Linked DNA regions of Saccharomyces cerevisiae S288C. Changing the gene in region 3 together with the main gene of any one other region gives a genetic interaction. Each region holds a gene or a part of one and is shown on either strand. Other genes may lie near its edges.

What was found.
Region 1: of GLO1 (region 3) and HSP31, extra expression of one rescues a mutant of the other (dosage rescue), as found in Saccharomyces cerevisiae (one study listed by BioGRID).
Region 2: of GLO1 (region 3) and HSP32, extra expression of one rescues a mutant of the other (dosage rescue), as found in Saccharomyces cerevisiae (one study listed by BioGRID).

What each region holds. Positions count from the first base shown.
Region 1 is NC_001136.10:1,497,511-1,505,226, reverse strand, and holds HSP31 (glutathione-independent methylglyoxalase), read left to right. Parts: upstream 1-3,066; coding exon 3,067-3,780; downstream 3,781-7,716. Other genes in the region: FIT1 (Fit1p), read left to right, coding at 327-1,913; KRE28 (Kre28p), read left to right, coding at 4,674-5,831; CAB1 (pantothenate kinase), read right to left, coding at 5,892-6,995; APA2 (bifunctional AP-4-A phosphorylase/ADP sulfurylase), read left to right, coding at 7,459-7,716. UniProt on the Saccharomyces cerevisiae protein: Catalyzes the conversion of methylglyoxal (MG) to D-lactate in a single glutathione (GSH)-independent step. May play a role in detoxifying endogenously produced glyoxals. Involved in protection against reactive oxygen species (ROS).
Region 2 is NC_001148.4:8,030-15,829, reverse strand, and holds HSP32 (glutathione-independent methylglyoxalase family protein), read right to left. Parts: upstream 3,944-7,800; coding exon 3,230-3,943; downstream 1-3,229. Other genes in the region: YPL277C (uncharacterized protein), read left to right, coding at 1-425; YPL278C (uncharacterized protein), read left to right, coding at 475-777; FEX2 (fluoride transporter), read left to right, coding at 1,475-2,602; phosphopyruvate hydratase ERR2, read left to right, coding at 4,960-6,273; seripauperin PAU22, read left to right, coding at 7,403-7,800. UniProt on the Saccharomyces cerevisiae protein: Catalyzes the conversion of methylglyoxal (MG) to D-lactate in a single glutathione (GSH)-independent step. May play a role in detoxifying endogenously produced glyoxals. Involved in protection against reactive oxygen species (ROS).
Region 3 is NC_001145.3:261,205-265,131, reverse strand, and holds GLO1 (lactoylglutathione lyase GLO1), read left to right. Parts: upstream 1-2,446; coding exon 2,447-3,427; downstream 3,428-3,927. Other genes in the region: VRL1 (Vrl1p), read right to left, coding at 1-591; YML003W (uncharacterized protein), read right to left, coding at 777-1,649; TRM12 (tRNA(Phe) (4-demethylwyosine(37)-C(7)) aminocarboxypropyltransferase), read right to left, coding at 3,523-3,927. UniProt on the Saccharomyces cerevisiae protein: Catalyzes the conversion of hemimercaptal, formed from methylglyoxal and glutathione, to S-lactoylglutathione. Can use gamma-glutamylcysteine as a substrate.

The DNA.
Region 1 (7,716 bases), on a different chromosome or scaffold from region 3:
AGTTTAAACAACCCACCAAAACTTCCATTTTTAACTATGCCGTGCACCCTGTTCCGCACCCTGTTTGTTCCAAACCGCGCTGTCGCACATTTGGCATAATGTAATGACAGACACCTCAGGGCTCAATACGCGAGTTCTAGGAAAGGGTGCAAAAAAATGAATATCTAATATAATATGACACTCGTATACCATTTTTGAAGTGAAGTTTTTGCACTATTTAAACTAATGATTATCTAACTTTTCTATATTCCTAATGCCGTGTTTATTTTCAGAAAGTCCTTTTGTTCGCCTGAATAATAATAGTAATAACAATACAATACCCGAAAATGAAATTGTCTTCCGCTTTTGTATTATCTGCTATCACCGTTGCCGCTTTAGGCGAAAGTATTACTACTACGATAACTGCTACCAAAAATGGGCATGTTTACACCAAGACTGTCACTCAAGATGCTACTTTTGTCTGGGCAGGAGAAGGCGCTGCGGTAACCTCCGCAGTAACTGAAGCGTCTACTGTCGCTGCAACGTCTGCTGCCGCTGAAACATCTGTTGCCGCTGAAACATCTATTGTTGAGCCTTCCACTTCTGCTCAGGGCACCTCTGCTGATGAAGGGTCTGGTTCGAGTATAACCACCACTATTACAGCCACCAAAAATGGACATGTCTACACAAAGACCGTCACCCAGGATGCTACTTTCGTATGGACTGGAGAGGGTGAACGTGCTCCTGCCTCAACTGTTGCTACTGTCGAAACATCTGTTGCCGCTGAAACATCTGTTGCTGAACCTTCTACCTCTGCTCAGGGCACCTCTGCTGATGAAGGGTCTGGTTCGAGTATAACCACCACTATTACAGCCACCAAAAATGGACATGTCTACACAAAGACCGTCACCCAGGACGCTACTTTCGTATGGACTGGTGAGGGTGAACGTGCTCCTGTCTCAACCGTTGCTACTGTCGAAACAGCTGCTTCTCCAGTAACATCTGTTGCTGAACCTTCTGCCTCTACTGATGAAGGATCTGGTTCGAGTATAACTACCACTATTACAGCCACCAAAAATGGACATGTCTACACAAAGACCGTCACCCAGGACGCTACTTTCGTATGGACTGGTGAGGGTGAACGCGCTCCTGCCTCCACCGTTGCAACTTCTAGTATTTCTGCTATTGAAATTCCCTCCACTACTGAGGCCTCTATTGTGGAGGCTTCTTCTGCTGTTGAGACTTCCTCTGCTGCTGAGACTTCCTCTGCTGTTGAGACTTCCTCTGCTGTTGAGACTTCCTCTGCTGTTGAGACTTCTTCTGCTGCTGAGACTTCCTCTGCTGCTGAGACTTCCTCTGCCGTTGAGACTTCCTCTGCTGTTGAGATTTCTTCTGCTGTTGAGACTTCTGCTGTTGAGACTTCTTCTTCTTCCTCTACTATCGAGACCACTTCTGTTAAAAGCTTATCTCCTACTCAGACTTCTCTTTCATCTTCTGTCCAGGCTTCTTCTCCTATTGAGACTTCTTCTGCTGCAAAAACCTCTTCTGTTGTGCCAACTTTTTCTTCTACTACTACTGAAAATTCCTCTAATTCTAAATCCACGTCTGCAGTTGTAGCATCTACTACCACCTCCTCTGAGTCAAGCGCTACTATTGTTACTCCTACTAGAATTGGGCAAGCTTACACAGAGAGTTCTTCTAGGGATGCCCAATCTGTTCGTACCCATGAAAGTAACAATTGGTCATCAAGTTCTTCTGCAAGCACAAAAATGGTATCCTCTATTACAAGAGTTCAAACCACTACCGCTGGTATTTTCACTAACGGTAAGTCGTCCACAACTCCTCAAATCGTGAATTACACGGGTGCGGCTGATTCTATCGCCGCTGGTACGGGTCTGATGGGCGCTGCGCTCGCTGCCGTTATCTTTTTGTAATTTCTGCTAACGACAGATGCGCAGAATCAACCTTTCTGATCTCTCCGTGGTCTTACTTTTCAAAATGGCATTGTGAATTAAGTATTTCATCATAGTTGATAAAGCTTATGTCCGCAATGTTATTTGTCTGCGTGACACTGGCTGTCTATAAGAATGTACCAGTATGTAATATTATATCAAGAAAATATCAGGTGTTGATTAAAATAATCTAAAAACAATGTCTATTTCACTTGTTAAATATGACTTTTCAAAAATAACCATTTTATTTATTTCTTGCTTTTTAAAAGGTGAGAGTGGGTATTTGTTTTATCTGACGCCAAGGAAAATAAAAGTTAAAAAATGACATGATGATTTTATAGTTCAAAACAAGAAATGAACTTTCGTGTTTGTGATCAGATTCAAATGGAGTATAATACTGAAAGAAGGTCGAGAAAGACAAGCAAGCAAATTCACAACTTCATTGAGCGCATTTTATTGAAATTACCTGTAGCAATGAGTAGTTCAGTTTGTCATATAATTATGTTTTTGTGAGAAATTTTAGCTTTTGGTACTGTGCCAGTTATCCGAATTTAAAAAAAAAAGTTATATATGGCTGTAATAATTTAGGTCAGAGAGAAGAAAACACGAAGTTTACTACGTGTATTAAAAATAGAACATTAAACATGCACCAAATGCTTTAATGAACACTTTCGGAAGAATAAGCCCATAAAAAAATCACGACGTACCGTTGCGACAGATAGGATCGTTCTTTCTAGGAGATTTTTTAGCTGCTACGGAATAAAAGAAATAATGCTGACTAATACGCAGGATATCCATGGGAGGCGGCTTTTTGTTCTGACGGATCCATAAATCCCGTAAAGAAATCTGGGCGAATGTATACAGAGAATTAACGTTACTCATTCCTAGCCTGAAAATCAAAAAGCTTGGCATAAGGGGCATGTACATAGTCTTCATGAAAGAAATGGAAAATTTTTTCAAGGGATGGCTTCACGGTTCCATTATTGCTTCCGGTTTCCGTTACCCTTTAAATCAGATATATAAACAGCCATAAGGAGAACCATTCATTTCTTTATCATCCGCTAAATTTTATTAACGGCATTTTTAAGTACTTCCCACTGGCTAATTACACAGATAAAACTCAAACAAATTTATAATGGCCCCAAAAAAAGTTTTACTCGCTCTTACCTCATATAACGATGTATTCTACAGTGACGGCGCCAAGACCGGTGTTTTTGTTGTAGAAGCCTTACATCCCTTCAACACATTCCGAAAAGAAGGTTTTGAAGTCGATTTTGTATCTGAAACCGGAAAATTTGGTTGGGATGAGCATTCCTTAGCCAAAGATTTTCTAAATGGTCAAGACGAAACGGATTTTAAAAATAAAGACTCAGATTTCAACAAGACATTGGCTAAAATTAAGACACCAAAAGAGGTGAATGCCGATGATTACCAAATTTTTTTTGCATCTGCAGGCCACGGTACCTTATTTGACTATCCTAAGGCTAAAGACTTGCAGGACATTGCTTCCGAAATTTATGCTAACGGTGGTGTTGTCGCAGCTGTTTGTCACGGTCCTGCTATTTTTGATGGGTTAACAGACAAAAAAACAGGAAGACCATTGATCGAAGGTAAATCTATCACCGGTTTTACTGATGTTGGTGAAACCATTTTGGGTGTTGATAGTATTTTGAAAGCCAAGAATTTGGCAACCGTTGAAGATGTTGCTAAAAAATATGGCGCTAAGTATTTAGCTCCGGTTGGGCCCTGGGATGATTACTCTATTACTGACGGAAGACTGGTAACAGGTGTGAATCCTGCTTCTGCGCACTCCACTGCCGTAAGATCCATCGACGCTTTAAAAAACTGAGCCAAAGGTTGATAATTAGAATTTCCTTTGTACTACTATATAGATGTAAGGAACTTTAGGAGGCGTTATTGAGTACGAGGGATGTACCTCATTGTTAATACGTTGAAATATTTGGATATTGGGGAAACACATGTCTGAGATGGGTCTTCCAATAACCAAAGTTTATAATCTTTATCTTTTATCTGCTTTAGCTAGAGGTTAATAGTGAAGACTACATTTGGTCTCCAACAAGGTGCTACAATTTATTTTTCAGCCACTCCGTTGCACAGCATTTATCTAGCCAACGTTAATATCAATGAGAATGGAGAAGAAAGCATTAGCGTCGTTACGCTGCAAATCATCTATGCAATATGTAAAACTATACATAAAACTTTCTAAATTTTTTTTTTTTCATTTTGGTATTTCTGTCAGCTGCCGATGCTTCCTAAAGGGTTTATTCATGTGGGACATTGTAGGTGTGTTTCAGTTATCTAATGGTTATTTGCATCTTAGTGAGCTGTTCCTTGCGGTTTCTTGCTAAATGATCACGAAAAATGTTTTTTTCTCAGGTTAATTATGGCAGAATGTCGACACGAATTGGTCATATTGAAAATATTTAGTAATGCCCATCAATTAAATTGAACGTTATATCATCCGGATAAACAATATCTTCCAGATTAAAAAGGAAAAATAATTTAGGGCATACGTATTAGGTTATTCAACCAGAAATTAGCATTTGGCTGTCTTTAATGCCATCGCTTGGGAACTAGGCAGTTAAATATAAGCACATGTAAAAAAAGTGAAGATCGCGTAACTCATTATTTATAAACACAAGGAGAATGAGCAGCATCAAAAAAACTTCAACCAATAGAAAAAAACATATAGACTAGCTTTAAAACAAAATTAGTGAAGAAATGGATACAGGGAGTGCGAGCATAAAGGACTATGAGACCGTGTTAACGGATATTGAGGATTCTATTGCTGTGAGCAGCGAAGAAGTGCTAAATAACCAAGAACTAAGGCTCAAAAATACATTGCACGAAATTACTTCCAGCATTCTGGCAATAAATGAAGAGAACAAGTTTGTGAATCCTCTTAGGAACGATGAGAGCTTAGACGTAGAGGGAAAGGAGGTCTTTGTAAATCCAAAAATTCTGAGTGCAAAAATCAAGGAGTTCAATAAACTAATGGAGTTACTTAAGTTGACTTACTTGGAACAGGAGACATTGGACTATTTCTTCAGGTTTACTTTGTCCTCGACGAAACCTTTGCAGTTAGATTCCGAAAAAGACCCCCAATTTGTAAAACTTAATGAAAGAGTTAATGATTTAAAGGAAGAAATTTCGAATGTTCAAGAAAGCAAAATAGAACAAATCAAAGCTGAAATCCAAGAGACCGGTCACAACTTTGCAGAAAGGCAAGATTTAATAAATGAGTTGTATCTGGAAGCCACTGGTGATATTGAAAATTGTTGGGATTCGCTCAATGAACTAAAAAATTTAACAAACAAAGAAGATAAGAATATGATGGGAGAAAAAGATACGATATTAAATTCAAGTGATTCAGATGATTTTGTGGAAGAGACATACACGAATTGGCAAAAACTACTATTTTTGCAGAAGCAAAATCAAAGGTTAACGAAAGAGCTCAAGGAAATGCATGAAGTTAAAAATCAAATAATACGAAAAGGAGAGCAATCAAAAAAAGAGGATTCTGGACATTTAATGGCCAATGAATCAGAATTATGTCAGTCAATTAATTTGCTAACAAAATTTTGGGAAAAGCACTTTTTACTCAAAGGGTCAAAGACGACTATATTAAATTTTGAAATCTTTACCCAGCTTGGAAAAGTACAATTTGAAATAAAGGATATGCAATATATAATTGCCATATCTTTAAGCGATTTAAAAAGGCCAATGATAAAAGACATTACTATTTTACAAAAAGCGGGTGGCAATATAGTCACAGACATTGAAGCGAGCAGTAAATTTAACAATAAGTACAGAAATAATACTAAGGTGCAAATCTTTGAGGTAATGGATGACATTATAAGCGAGCTAACAAACGAATAAATTAATTATCTAGATAAAGATGTATGTAATATTACTAGCCAAAAAAAAAGTGAAATCTATCTACGTACTTGTTTTCTTAGTAGATGAATGACGAGACGCGCTTAGGAAAGCACCCATTGCACCCAAATAGCCTTCATGTTTGAGAAAAAACGCTTGCTTTGATCCTTGTGACCAAAAATTAATAGCGTAGCTCAAAGTGTTCATGGTAGTCAAATGTCCTCTGGTATAAGATCCGCCAAAGTATATATTCTGTATATTATTGATTTTAGCTTGCAAATAAGCTATTTGCCCAATATTGTTGGAGATGGCGAATAGAAGACTTTTACAAATATCAGGATTCTTAAACATTTGTCCATTGTTTTTCTCAATAGACTCATGTGAGGAATATAATTTATTTTCGTTGTTTTCCAAAGATTTGTTAGATGTCATTCTATTTTGGAAAACTTTACCAAATGAACTTGCAATAGCTGACGACTTTAGACCAATTTTATTATAGTCTGTTCCATAAATATCTCCAACTAGCATATCAACGCTAGAATTGTCACCCTCTTGTGCCCAATCGAGCATCTGATCATAAGTTTGAGCGCCAGTAATTAGTGATAATAGGCCCCAAAGAGTTCCTCCTCCCAGTGAAGAACCGCCTACTCTACTAAAATTGTTTGGTTCGGTGACTTTTAATATTGAGACACCCGACCCTATATTGACTAGAAGGTATGGGTAGATAGCCTTTGAGTCCATGGTGCCGGAACTGGTGGGTATTATCCTTTCGCCATCTTGATCGTTGTAAGTGAAAACTTCATCGGGAATCTCATGAATGAAAAAGTCTAAACCGTGAATTAAGCCTTCCATTTCTTCGAACCTCGATATACCTTTTATTTGAGGAAAATTTTCATACAACAAATCATAAAACTTGAAGGCGCCACCACCAGTGGCAATTATATGAGTCATTCTATAGCATCCATTGTTATGTTCTTTGATAATAGAATGCAGAAGTTCCATGAACTTGTCAATTTTCTCTGTTTCAATGGTGTAGAACATCAGCCTGTTACTGTGTATAGGCGAGAAGACTACTTTAGCCAGAGTGCCTCCTATATCAATAGCAAGGTTGAAAGTATTGTCGCCATAATCGCAATTGTAAGATATCTCTTGAGTAATTCGCGGCATTGCGATTCTTTTCGCATGCACTCAATTGGAACTATAAATTTCTTTATTCTGGTAGTTTTTTAGTTTTAATGATCAATCTGTTCAGAAACATAAGTTCTTTTTACTCATCGTTATGTTGGTGAAATAAAATTTCGGCCGATATTGGGGGAACTGCGCTAGTCGTTTAACGTCATGTAAGATTCCTAAGTGGAACAGTCAGAAGTAAAAAAAAAAAAATCGGTCCCGGCAATTACAAACTAAAGGAGCTCAATGCGTAGATCGCGGATAGTTCTCCGCATTTGAGTGAAACTTTTTGAGATACTGTCGTAAATACGCAATCATGAACGACCATATGAATAATACTCGATCATACCAACGTCACGTGTAAAGCTTTTGCCTGTTTCGAAAATGTGTTGAACTATTGAAATATAATAAAATTAAAAGGCAACCGAGCCCCTGGGTCAGAGAAAATAGGAAGACAAAGATGATTGAAGAGAATTTGAAACAGAAAATCCACGATAAGTTCGTTGCAGCCAAAAAGAATGGGCATCTGAAAGTAACGCATGCAGAATCCAAGAAGTTGAAAGATCCTCAAACGACGACACAATATTGGGTGACATTTGCTCCATCTTTGGCACTTAAGCCAGACGCTAACAAGAATAGCGATTCAAAGGCGGAGGACCCGTTCGCCAATCCCGACGAAGAACTAGTGGTGACTGAAGATCTAAATGGTGACGGAGAA
Region 2 (7,800 bases), on a different chromosome or scaffold from region 3:
CGCATGACAACGGGGAGCATCGAATCCATATCGACTATAGGTACCTAGTGAGCGGGATAAACAGGACGTACATTGCTCCTGATCCTAACAACAGAAGATTACTCGATGAAGGAATGACATGGGAAAAGCAATTGGACATGGTAGATGACTTAGAAAAGGCGCTGGAAGTCGGATTTGATGCCACGCAAAGTATGGATTGGCAGTTAGCATTTGATGAGCTTGTCCTTAAATTTGCTCCATTACTAAAATCTGTTAGTAACATACTGAACAGCGATGGTGATATTAATGAGTCAATTGCCATCAATGCAACAGCACTCACATTGAACTTTTGTCTACCAATATGTGAGCCCATACCAGGCCTTAAAAACGGATGCAGACTTTTTGATTTGGTCATCTGCTGTCAGCGTTGTCGGAGAAATTGTTGATGTCATTTATAAAGTGAATGATTTATTGATACCCGAAGTCTACTCTTTTATGACAGATAACACAACTTCCAGCGACTTAATAAAGAATGTCGAAACGGCTCGCTCCACTATCGATGGTTTAATTGAATCTCTAGGGTGGATTGAACTAAATTACCGTTGTGAGAGGCAATGCAATTGGGATGAAGTTTGTTACACTCCTTCCTGGGGCCCATCTCCAATGGGTATGACTGAACCAGGTTCCCACAATGAGGGATTTGGAACCCACTTTGATGAATCTCGACAAAGGTTGGTTATTAACAGTAAACTACAGTGTATCAATATAAATGATTTGATGGTTAATCGTAATCATTAGCGCCTCATGTGAGCAGGCCATTGTGGGACAGTATGAAGGGTATGATTTCTAGATAATCCAATAATAATTATGAAGTTTTTGAGATTTGGGGTGATACACATCTATGAATTACTAAGAGATTTGAGACACAGCGACAGTCATGCCAGCAAGATTTAAGATTTTCTTTATTTAGTGTTTATATACATATCAGATATCTGTTGAGTATTTTCTATTTTACCAAAAAAAAAAGATATGAAATCAAGATAAAACGTCGTATGAAAGACAAGGGAGCTCAGCAGCAATATCATAAAGTAAAGCAACAGCGCTTGGTTCATGTACAATGAACGATCTGAAAATTATTTGGCAGCGGTGCTACGAATACATGTCGATATTACGTTACGATTGTCTAACAGGGGAGGAGAATCGTGCACTTTGATGGGTATATCGAAAAGATGGTGACTCTGCTAGAGTCACTGTCAGTGAGGAGTTGCGATGTATGAAAGATTCACTGACATAAAGTGGCGCGATTCATGTAGCAGTGTAAATCACTTTTGACGCAATGATGGAAGAGATACGGAAGAGATACGGAAAAAATAAAACAAAAAACAACTGAAATAAGTACTAAAGGATTATATTTATTGCCGCCATTATTATTTAGCGTCTGGTGGCTCAAGAATCTGCAGTTATTTAATTATTTAATCGAGCGTGTAATGCTCTGATGATTTTCAATCCGGTCATATCAAATCACAAGTTGAGCCATTATATTCATGTTTTTTGTACATTCACCACGTTCTGCATATTAGGTACTGAAACACGTCAGGCTATAACGGCGCTTTCCACCTACACTCCGGCCTTCGTTACTGCTCCGACCGTTCTCTGGTCTAATTGTTCATCCTGCATGCTAATGGGGATTATGCAATCTTTAAATGCTTACACTTGGATGAAAGATCACCAAGTCTTGTTTTTAGGTGTAACTACTGGGTACTGTGGTGCCCTGTCTTCCTTTTCTAGTATGCTGCTAGAGATGTTCGAACACTCTACAAACTTAACTAACGGTAATATCGCTAACCACACAAAACTGCCGAACAGAGCTTACGGTATAATGGAGTTTTTATCTGTCTTGCTCGTTCATCTTATGGTTTCCATGGGTAGTCTTATTTTCGGTAGGCAACTTGGTAAGGAGGTTATTGTTGCTTATGGATCTAGTTCGTTTTCGAAGCCATATACCCCTCCCTCAGACACTGTAAAGGAAAATGCTGGTGATGTTGATACACAAGAAATGGAAAAAAATATTCTAGAGTTTAAATTCAAAACTCCAGCACCATTTTTTAAGAAATTTTTTGATGTTGTGGATAAACTCGCGTACGCACTAGCTTTTCCATTAATTATTTTGTTTGTGGTGCTGTGTGCGTATTATGAGAACTATTCGAGGGGCAAGTGGACACTACCATGTCTATTTGGAATTTTCGCTGGTTTCCTAAGATATTGGTTGGCAGAAATGTTTAATAAAACAAACAAAAAGTTTCCATTGGGTACTTTCTTGGCAAACGTTTTCGCCACTTTATTGATTGGCATATTTACCATGGTGCAACGTGGTAAAAAACACTTTTCCACGGATATTCCAATTGTGAACTCGTTGAATTCATGCCATATTGTTTCTGCGTTAATATCCGGATTTTGCGGCACTTTGAGTACCATTAGCACGTTTATCAATGAAGGGTATAAGCTATCATTTATTAACATGCTTATTTATTATACTGTTTCGATTGGAATTTCATATTGCTTATTGGTGATAACTCTCGGATCCTATGCTTGGACTAGAGGATTGACTAACCCGATTTGTTAGGATCTTTTCTTCATACCTTTTCCTGCACAATCATCCCACCTTTTTTTTTTTTTAATTCATTTTCAAGATTTTAGACGTTGTATAATACATTTTTACCGACTACTGCGGTTTATTGTAATATTTTGTGAGATTTTATGAATGCGTTCCATCATCTATTTACTACAAAACGATAAATTTCCCCGTTTTCTTTTACTTTTACTTCATTTAATATAATTCATATTTATTTCCTATGTACCAATTAATTACTTCTAAAAAGAACAGAAATAGAAAAAAGTTGTATATAACAAGCCAAAAAAAAGAAAAAAAAAGGAAAAAAAAGAAAACACAGCTTATTTCAAATTGCAATCTGCGTATTTCGTAAGTAACGAATGATCTCACAGCATTGCTTTTTTTTTTTTTATATATATATGTACATTACCTATGTCACATATGACCATGATGAGTACAACACTAAAAACCAAGGCCTACTATTCAATTGTTCTCTATATGATTTCCATTCTAGCAAAATCGAGTGCTACCGACCTGCCGTTTTCTTTACCTTTCGAACCATTGAGCTGTTAGCCTTCTCTTCACAGAAACTGAAAGCCATTAGAAGCCTCCCCTTCAACAATTCCCTTGTCTTTTGTTTCAGCTATATAATGCGTTTATAGCTCTAATTGTGGTCGAATAGGAAGAATTTGCGTTAACACCCGTAACTAGCTTTCCATCTGTAATAGAGTAGTCATCCCAGGGATGGATTGGCGCCAAGTACTTGGCTCCATTCTTGTTTGCAACGCGTTCAACCGTTGTCAATTTTCTGCTCCTCAAGATGTCGTCAACTCCCAGGGCGATTTCACCCTCGAGTGGGAAACCTGTTATAGCTTTGCCTTCGATTAATGGTCTTGTTGTTTTGATATCTATTAATCCATCGAAAAGGAGCGGTCCATGACAGATGGCAGCGATCACACCCCCATTGGCATATATCTTGGATGCAATATCTTGCAGATTTTTAGCTTTGGGATAGTCAAATAGAGCACCATGTCCAGCAGATGCAAAGAATATTTTATAGTCGCTGGCGTTGACTTCATTTGCGGTCTTGATCCTCGCTAACGCCTTATTGAAGGCGGAATTTTTCGTTTCAAAGTTCATCTTATCTTCGCCACCAATAAAGCTCTTTGGCAAGTAATGTTCATCCCAGCCAAATCCACCAGTCTCAGAAACGAAGTCCACTTCGAAACCATGCTTTTCGAAAGTATCGAACGACCGCAAAATCTCAACTACAAAAACGCCTGTTTTCGCACCATCTTTATAGAAGGGACCGTGGTATGAAGTAAGAGATATTAGCGCTCTTTTTGGAGTCATTGCAAGGCCAGTTTTCTTTTTGAATGAAGGAGAAAAGTGTTCTAGAAATATGTTTTAGTTCTAAGTATCGTTGTCTGGAGCAAGCAAAGAAAAGCAGACCTGTATGTGCAACTTTCCTCTTTTCCATTAAAATCTCAAGAACCGGCCCCTTGACTGTGCTCATATATCAAGTATCGGTTTTAAAGTCCCCTAATTGTGATAATTGCAAGAACAACAGTCAAAAAGATATTTTTCTTTTCTTTCTTTTTACCTATCCTTCATGAAAATACCTATGCTGATACTGAATATCTTCATTTGCAGCTATGCAATATTTCAGATACCCCATTTTACCCAAGAGTTTCTTACTGGTGGTTGGATTTTCTTTAAGACGAGAAGATTACCAGTCCTGGATGTTCGTGAATGTGCCTATTGCGTCATCAGCGACTCCGCGCCAAGAAAAGAAATACTCGCATGCTCGGATTTATAGAATCGCATAATGGAAATACCTTCCTTAAAGGATGGAGATAAGGAAAAAATGACAAGAACAAGGAAGTACTTGGGAGCTTTCTCCGACATGGTAAATATTTGAAACTCACGCAGCTCTCCTGGAAAGTTGGATCTGGAAAGGTAAGGTTGTTTTTTTTACAGACATCAACCAAAATCGGTTCTTGTAGTAGACAATGTCACAGATCGCCACAAGTTGAAAAAAAAGTTTCGATGAACTGGATAAGGGGAGAGGTCACAAACAAAGTGTAGGGGGTGAGTAGTATAGTGGTAACTTGTTCATTTACCTAAATAACATTCTCACTAGAAAAGAGATATTGAAAGACTCCTCGTTTACCTAACTTGGCTGGTTCTTAGGTATATAATAGAAACATGGATCTGGCAGGTTATCACTTACAGTTTGCACTCCCACCAGGTTACAATTTTCATTATATATAGTTATTTTTTACCACCACTTCTTCTTCTTTCACTTTGTCTTGCAATAGAAATACCAAAACAAGGTGAGGAAAAAATCGAATCTCAACGATAAAAATATGTCCATCACGAAGGTACATGCTAGAACGGTGTATGATTCTCGCGGCAATCCGACTGTTGAGGTTGAAATTACAACAGAGAATGGTCTCTTCAGAGCGATCGTCCCATCTGGTGCCTCCACCGGCATTCACGAAGCTGTTGAACTTAGAGACGGGAACAAGTCCGAATGGATGGGAAAAGGGGTGACCAAGGCAGTCAGTAACGTCAATAGTATCATAGGGCCTGCTTTAATCAAGTCCGAATTATGTGTAACCAATCAGAAGGGCATAGACGAGCTCATGATATCGTTAGACGGAACTTCTAACAAGTCAAGGTTGGGCGCCAATGCTATCCTTGGTGTTTCCTTGTGCGTTGCTCGAGCTGCTGCCGCACAAAAGGGAATTACTCTCTACAAGTATATAGCCGAGTTAGCGGATGCTAGACAGGACCCCTTTGTTATTCCTGTTCCTTTTTTCAATGTTTTGAATGGTGGAGCCCACGCCGGTGGCTCTTTAGCTATGCAAGAATTCAAGATCGCGCCAGTCGGGGCTCAGAGCTTTGCAGAAGCCATGAGGATGGGTTCGGAAGTTTACCATCATTTGAAGATATTGGCGAAGGAGCAATATGGACCTTCCGCTGGAAATGTTGGTGACGAGGGTGGAGTTGCCCCCGATATTGACACTGCCGAAGACGCCTTGGACATGATTGTGGAAGCCATTAACATATGCGGTTACGAGGGTAGAGTGAAAGTAGGAATCGATAGTGCTCCTTCTGTTTTTTATAAGGACGGGAAATACGACCTAAATTTCAAGGAACCGAACTCTGACCCATCTCACTGGCTCAGTCCAGCCCAGTTAGCAGAATATTACCATTCATTGCTAAAGAAATACCCAATCATTTCCCTGGAAGATCCCTACGCCGAAGATGATTGGTCCTCGTGGTCTGCCTTCCTAAAGACTGTCAATGTTCAGATTATTGCAGATGACCTGACATGCACCAACAAGACCAGGATCGCCCGTGCTATAGAGGAGAAATGTGCGAATACTCTGTTGCTGAAACTCAACCAGATCGGTACTCTGACTGAGTCTATTGAAGCCGCCAATCAGGCTTTCGATGCTGGATGGGGTGTAATGATATCGCATAGATCAGGTGAAACCGAAGATCCGTTTATCGCTGATTTGGTCGTTGGTTTAAGATGTGGTCAAATTAAATCGGGCGCTTTGTCGAGATCAGAAAGACTGGCCAAGTATAATGAACTTTTGCGTATCGAAGAGGAACTGGGGGACGATTGTATATATGCTGGTCATAGGTTTCATGATGGAAACAAACTATAAAGGATTGTCTTGTTTCCTTTTTTTTTTTTTTTTTTTTTGTTTTTTTATGACTAAATAAAGTAAATCATATGAGGTTTTATTTTTTATTTCGTTGATTTGGGTTACAGTATGGAAATGGGGCATTTGACACAAGTTATTTTATTCATATGTTTTATCTTGTAGGAAATCAAACCGTTTTTAAAGTTTTCCATTGCCTACACACAAAATCATTACGAATCTGTCTGAACAAGGGTGGACGTGTGGGGGAAGGCTGTTCCAATCAAGAAATGCTTACAACTCTACTAACACTGCAGTTTTTCAGCTTTCTGATTAATCTCTTCGGTTTAAATTTTTTAGCAGCTATTACTTTCTAGTAACCCTTATAACGCGGTTGGTATCAAATCTTCCTGATAGTACAAGCAGACCTTTGACCCCATTCTTGTTGTGTCTTGAAATCTTTTTTTCTGACAAAAGTAAGAAGTTACACCATAATAGAGAAGTTAAATAATGAAAGTGTATCGATCATAGAAATGATTTTATTTTTTTCAACTACTGTTACGGTCAAGAAACTAATACTGAGGATAAGTTTTCGCAACAATGATTTTGGTACAAGTGATTTAAAGTCTTGAATTACTTCAACACAATTTGCTTTGCGACGGTTTAGAATAACGTAATCGTATCAACGAATCCACTAGGCGCGCGTAAAAATTACAGACTCTAACAATATACGACTCCCAGCACATACCTACTATTCTGTACAATTCCGGGAAATAGGAGGGTACAGTATTATTTTTTCTCGGCGATCGTTTAGGGTATACTGGAGATAGGCTTAGCAATACGCTTCTGAACGAGGATCTATAGCAACTAAATTCAGACATTCTGCTATACCAAAAAAGGAAGTATCACAGGCACGGAAAAGGGTTTTATAAGGCACCTCGGCACCCCTATAACTGGCATTCTCACATTCGGCGCATACGAATAGACAAAGGCCCCAGAAAACAATACCTTCGCATACAGAATCTATAAAGATGCATGCCTCGTTTAAAAACAAAAACATCTTCATAGTGATCATGAAGTTGTGGGAAAGATGAGATATGGAGAATATGTGAAGTGCTAAAGGAGCATCTGTTAACGAATCGTTTAAGTGGTGATGACCAATGAAGGAATAGGTATAAATAGAGATACTTCAACTATATGCCTTCGAGAATATGTCTTTATTCATTTCTTTCCTGTTAAGCTTATATCAGCACTAACAAACAAAACAAATACAATGGTCAAATTAACTTCAATCGCTGCTGGTGTTGCCGCTATCGCTGCCGGTGTTGCCGCTGCTCCAGCCACTACCACTCTATCTCCATCTGACGAAAGAGTCAACTTGGTCGAATTGGGTGTTTACGTCTCCGATATCAGAGCTCATTTGGCTCAATACTACTTGTTTCAAGCAGCTCATCCAACAGAGACCTACCCAGTTGAGATTGCTGAAGCTGTTTTCAACTATGGTGACTTCACCACCATGTTGACTGGTATTCCAGCTGAACAAGTCACCAG
Region 3 (3,927 bases):
CTCTTCAGTACAATTGAACAGCATGATCTTTATGAGAACTTTCGCGGCTTCTAAATTTCCTGCTTTTATCGATTCTATAAGCAGCGTAGAACCATCAATCGTTTCGTCCTCTAAAAGGTCTTCTACTGGAAAGTCGTTTTCATATTCAGAAAGAATATCTAATAAGATGTAGTTTTTATGATTTGTTATACATATGGATAGAATGGATTGTCCTTGCTCATTTCTGTAGGTCAAAATATCCTTGTATGTTGCCAGATCTTCTACTTCATTTGTGGGGTTTTCACATGACAACTTATCTAATAAATTCTTAGTTTTTTCACATAATGTGTTAGCTTTCGCCACGTTGCCTGTATTTTTGTTGAAGTCTTCGAAATAACAAACCACTGCTTCCAGTGTGGATACAGCATACCCTAGAATGCCGAATTTTGTAGAAGAAGAGTTATTCGAAAAATTTTGCAAATAGTAAAGATGACTTTTAAGGTGCTTTTGTTCACTTCTGCAAACAACGAGCACAAAAAGGCTAATTAAAGTGTCTGCATCCATCGTCATGTTATTCAATCCGTCTGGTAGTTCTAGTTGATGTGAATCCATTTCGGTAGTACCTGATAATTTCTGTAGAGTTTCAACTAATATTTTAGATTTTTCAGCGTATGAATGGGTCAAAGCCAACTTTTGAAGATGTTTGGACGCTAGATGGAGACGCCTTTCAATAAGAGTGATGTCGTGTAATTTAAATTCCCCATAATCTTTTGAGTAAAAATCTGTCAACAACTGGTTCACTGAAAAATATTTATTTTTTCAGTGTCTACTTCGTGGCCTTTGAAATGTGTAGTAAGCCTAGACCATATATCATCGTAAAGATTTAGTTCAAAATAGTCGTGTATAAGATCGTAAAGATTAGAAAAGTTCTTGAAAAGTGAATCCGATTTCATTCCATCAAATGCTTGTTGCACGATGCTTTCAAAAATACTTCTAGATGGATCATCACCAGGAGCGAGCGTTCTGTAACTCGAAAACAATTGGCCAAGCTGTGTTAATCGAGCAGGATGAATGTGCAATATATTCTCGAATGACGATCTTTCTTGCTGAAAAGAATCTATCGACAGATTTGGCATAGCATGTGCATTTTTTGGTATTTTCTCATAATTGTGAAAACACTGTAAGTAGTCGTTAGGTACAAATTCGCAATTTAAAGGTTGATCTATGAATAGTATGATAAAATCAGCCGCCCCTTCAAAGTAGTCATTAAAATTGGGTAATATTTTTGTCTCTAGAATCTTTAGTCTTCGCCTTATATGAAATCCATTTAAGGCATGGATCACATTATTCTTCCATTGAATAACAACGGTCTTACCATCTAACGTTTCATAATGACTGTCCCTTGAATTCGTATTTATGTAAGAGTTTTCAGTCATTAACAATATGTAAGAGTTAATAAACTCTGCATTATAACAGAGGTCATGTAACGGCAGTTTGCTCTTGACATCGTGGTAATTCAAAAGGTATTCTGAAGGAGGTGCTAGGAGGATAAACCTACGGGTTTTTAAATTAGCGAAAAGCTTTTTCAATGGGGATCTTTCTGGTTCGGGACAGTTAAATATAGCATTAACCAGCGGGTTCAACAGCGTTGGTAAATGGTAAACTGACATTGTCAACCCTAGCTAAGCCATAGCTTTTCCGTTGAGGAATTTACAATAAGGTGGTTCCTTTAGTTATAAATTGCAACTGCCAAAATTTTCGGGTAGCGGCAAAATTAAACGAAAACCTTCTGTCATATTAAACATAGTTTAGTGACGCAATGCACACACACTCATATATATGTATATATTTATCTATATCATAGGTGTAAGGCAAAGTTATCACGTGAATATACTGTTTAGTATACAAGTACGTTGATTTAACGGCTGAGAGATTCTCAAACAAAGTAACGCTTAGTTTAGCTAAAGTAGAATCGAAGCGCAGTGAAGGCAAGACGAGTTATCCCTTTATCACAAAATATAAAAAATAGGTAAAGAGGGGGGTGGGGGTGGTTCGGACTTTGCATCTCGGTGCATTAGTACCACTCAGCTTCAGTTATAGGAATACTGACAATGTTCTTGAGCCAGGGAGAACTGAAATTTCCATACCCTTTAACCCTTTATTCTTGAGCATATGATCTTATTTTTCCACTCAGCACAAAATACACATCCCGCATATGATCTGGACACTGAATAAACAAGGGGCTTTACGATGGAGTAGTAGACCTGGATACGTAGTCACCACAGGGATCCTAAACTGCGTCATAGTAAGTTTCTTTGATACTAGAATGTCCCTCTCTCGTAGTAGTTGATATCCCGTATTTCTAGTTAGTGACGTTTATAAATAGGGAGAAAAAAAATCGGAATAACATTTCCATGCCTTTTTTTTGACACTTCAGACCAGATACGCCACCAGCTACAAACTAACAATGTCCACTGATAGTACACGCTATCCAATTCAGATTGAGAAAGCCTCGAATGATCCAACCCTTCTGCTTAATCACACATGTTTAAGAGTCAAGGATCCAGCAAGGACCGTTAAGTTCTACACCGAACACTTCGGTATGAAGCTATTAAGCAGAAAGGATTTTGAAGAAGCAAAATTTAGCTTGTACTTTTTAAGCTTTCCAAAAGACGACATACCCAAAAATAAGAATGGAGAGCCTGATGTTTTTAGCGCACACGGTGTCTTAGAACTAACTCACAATTGGGGTACTGAAAAAAACCCAGACTACAAGATCAACAACGGGAATGAGGAACCTCATCGTGGATTTGGGCACATCTGTTTTTCTGTATCCGATATCAATAAAACCTGCGAAGAGCTAGAATCTCAGGGTGTCAAATTCAAGAAGAGACTCTCTGAAGGAAGACAGAAGGACATTGCGTTTGCTTTAGGCCCTGATGGATACTGGATTGAGTTGATCACATATTCTAGAGAGGGTCAGGAATACCCAAAGGGCTCAGTAGGTAACAAGTTCAATCATACCATGATTCGTATTAAAAACCCAACCCGGTCTTTAGAATTCTACCAGAATGTGTTGGGCATGAAATTATTAAGAACTAGTGAGCACGAAAGTGCAAAATTTACGTTATACTTTCTTGGTTATGGCGTTCCAAAGACCGACAGCGTTTTTTCATGTGAAAGTGTGTTGGAGTTAACTCATAATTGGGGAACTGAGAATGATCCAAACTTCCACTATCATAACGGTAACTCAGAGCCCCAGGGTTATGGTCACATCTGCATAAGTTGTGATGACGCTGGCGCCCTTTGTAAAGAAATTGAAGTGAAATACGGCGATAAGATCCAATGGTCTCCTAAATTTAACCAAGGCAGAATGAAGAATATTGCCTTTTTGAAGGATCCTGATGGTTATTCCATTGAAGTCGTTCCTCATGGTTTGATTGCCTAAAAAGTTGAAATGAATAGGAGGTTAGTATTTTTTTTTTACAATAATGACCATTCTTGTTGACTTTTCATACACTAATTATTATTTATATTTTGTATTTAAGTACTTACTATAACGTCGACATCAACGCATACATGCCAAATATCTGGTGCAAAAGTTTTTATGCGTTCAAGCTTAGATCTCACAAACTGAAGTTTGATGCCACGGTTTCTAATTAATGCAATTGACTCATTAATAGCGTCGAGTTCTACAATGACATTCTTTTCGAAACTTCCATCCTCAATTGCATCTATGTGTACATTTTCATGTATATGCATTGTCACTTTTTCCAAAGAAGCTCCTTGTAAGTAAATTAATTTGATGGCCAATGGCCACCCTTGTTTGCTTGAAGGCAGGAGACCTAAATTAATATGCCTAATACGTAACCGAAATCCGGGATTCTGAGATAAGAATTCAGTAAGCCTTTGAACGCACATTTCATTTGATTCTTGGAAAACGTGGCA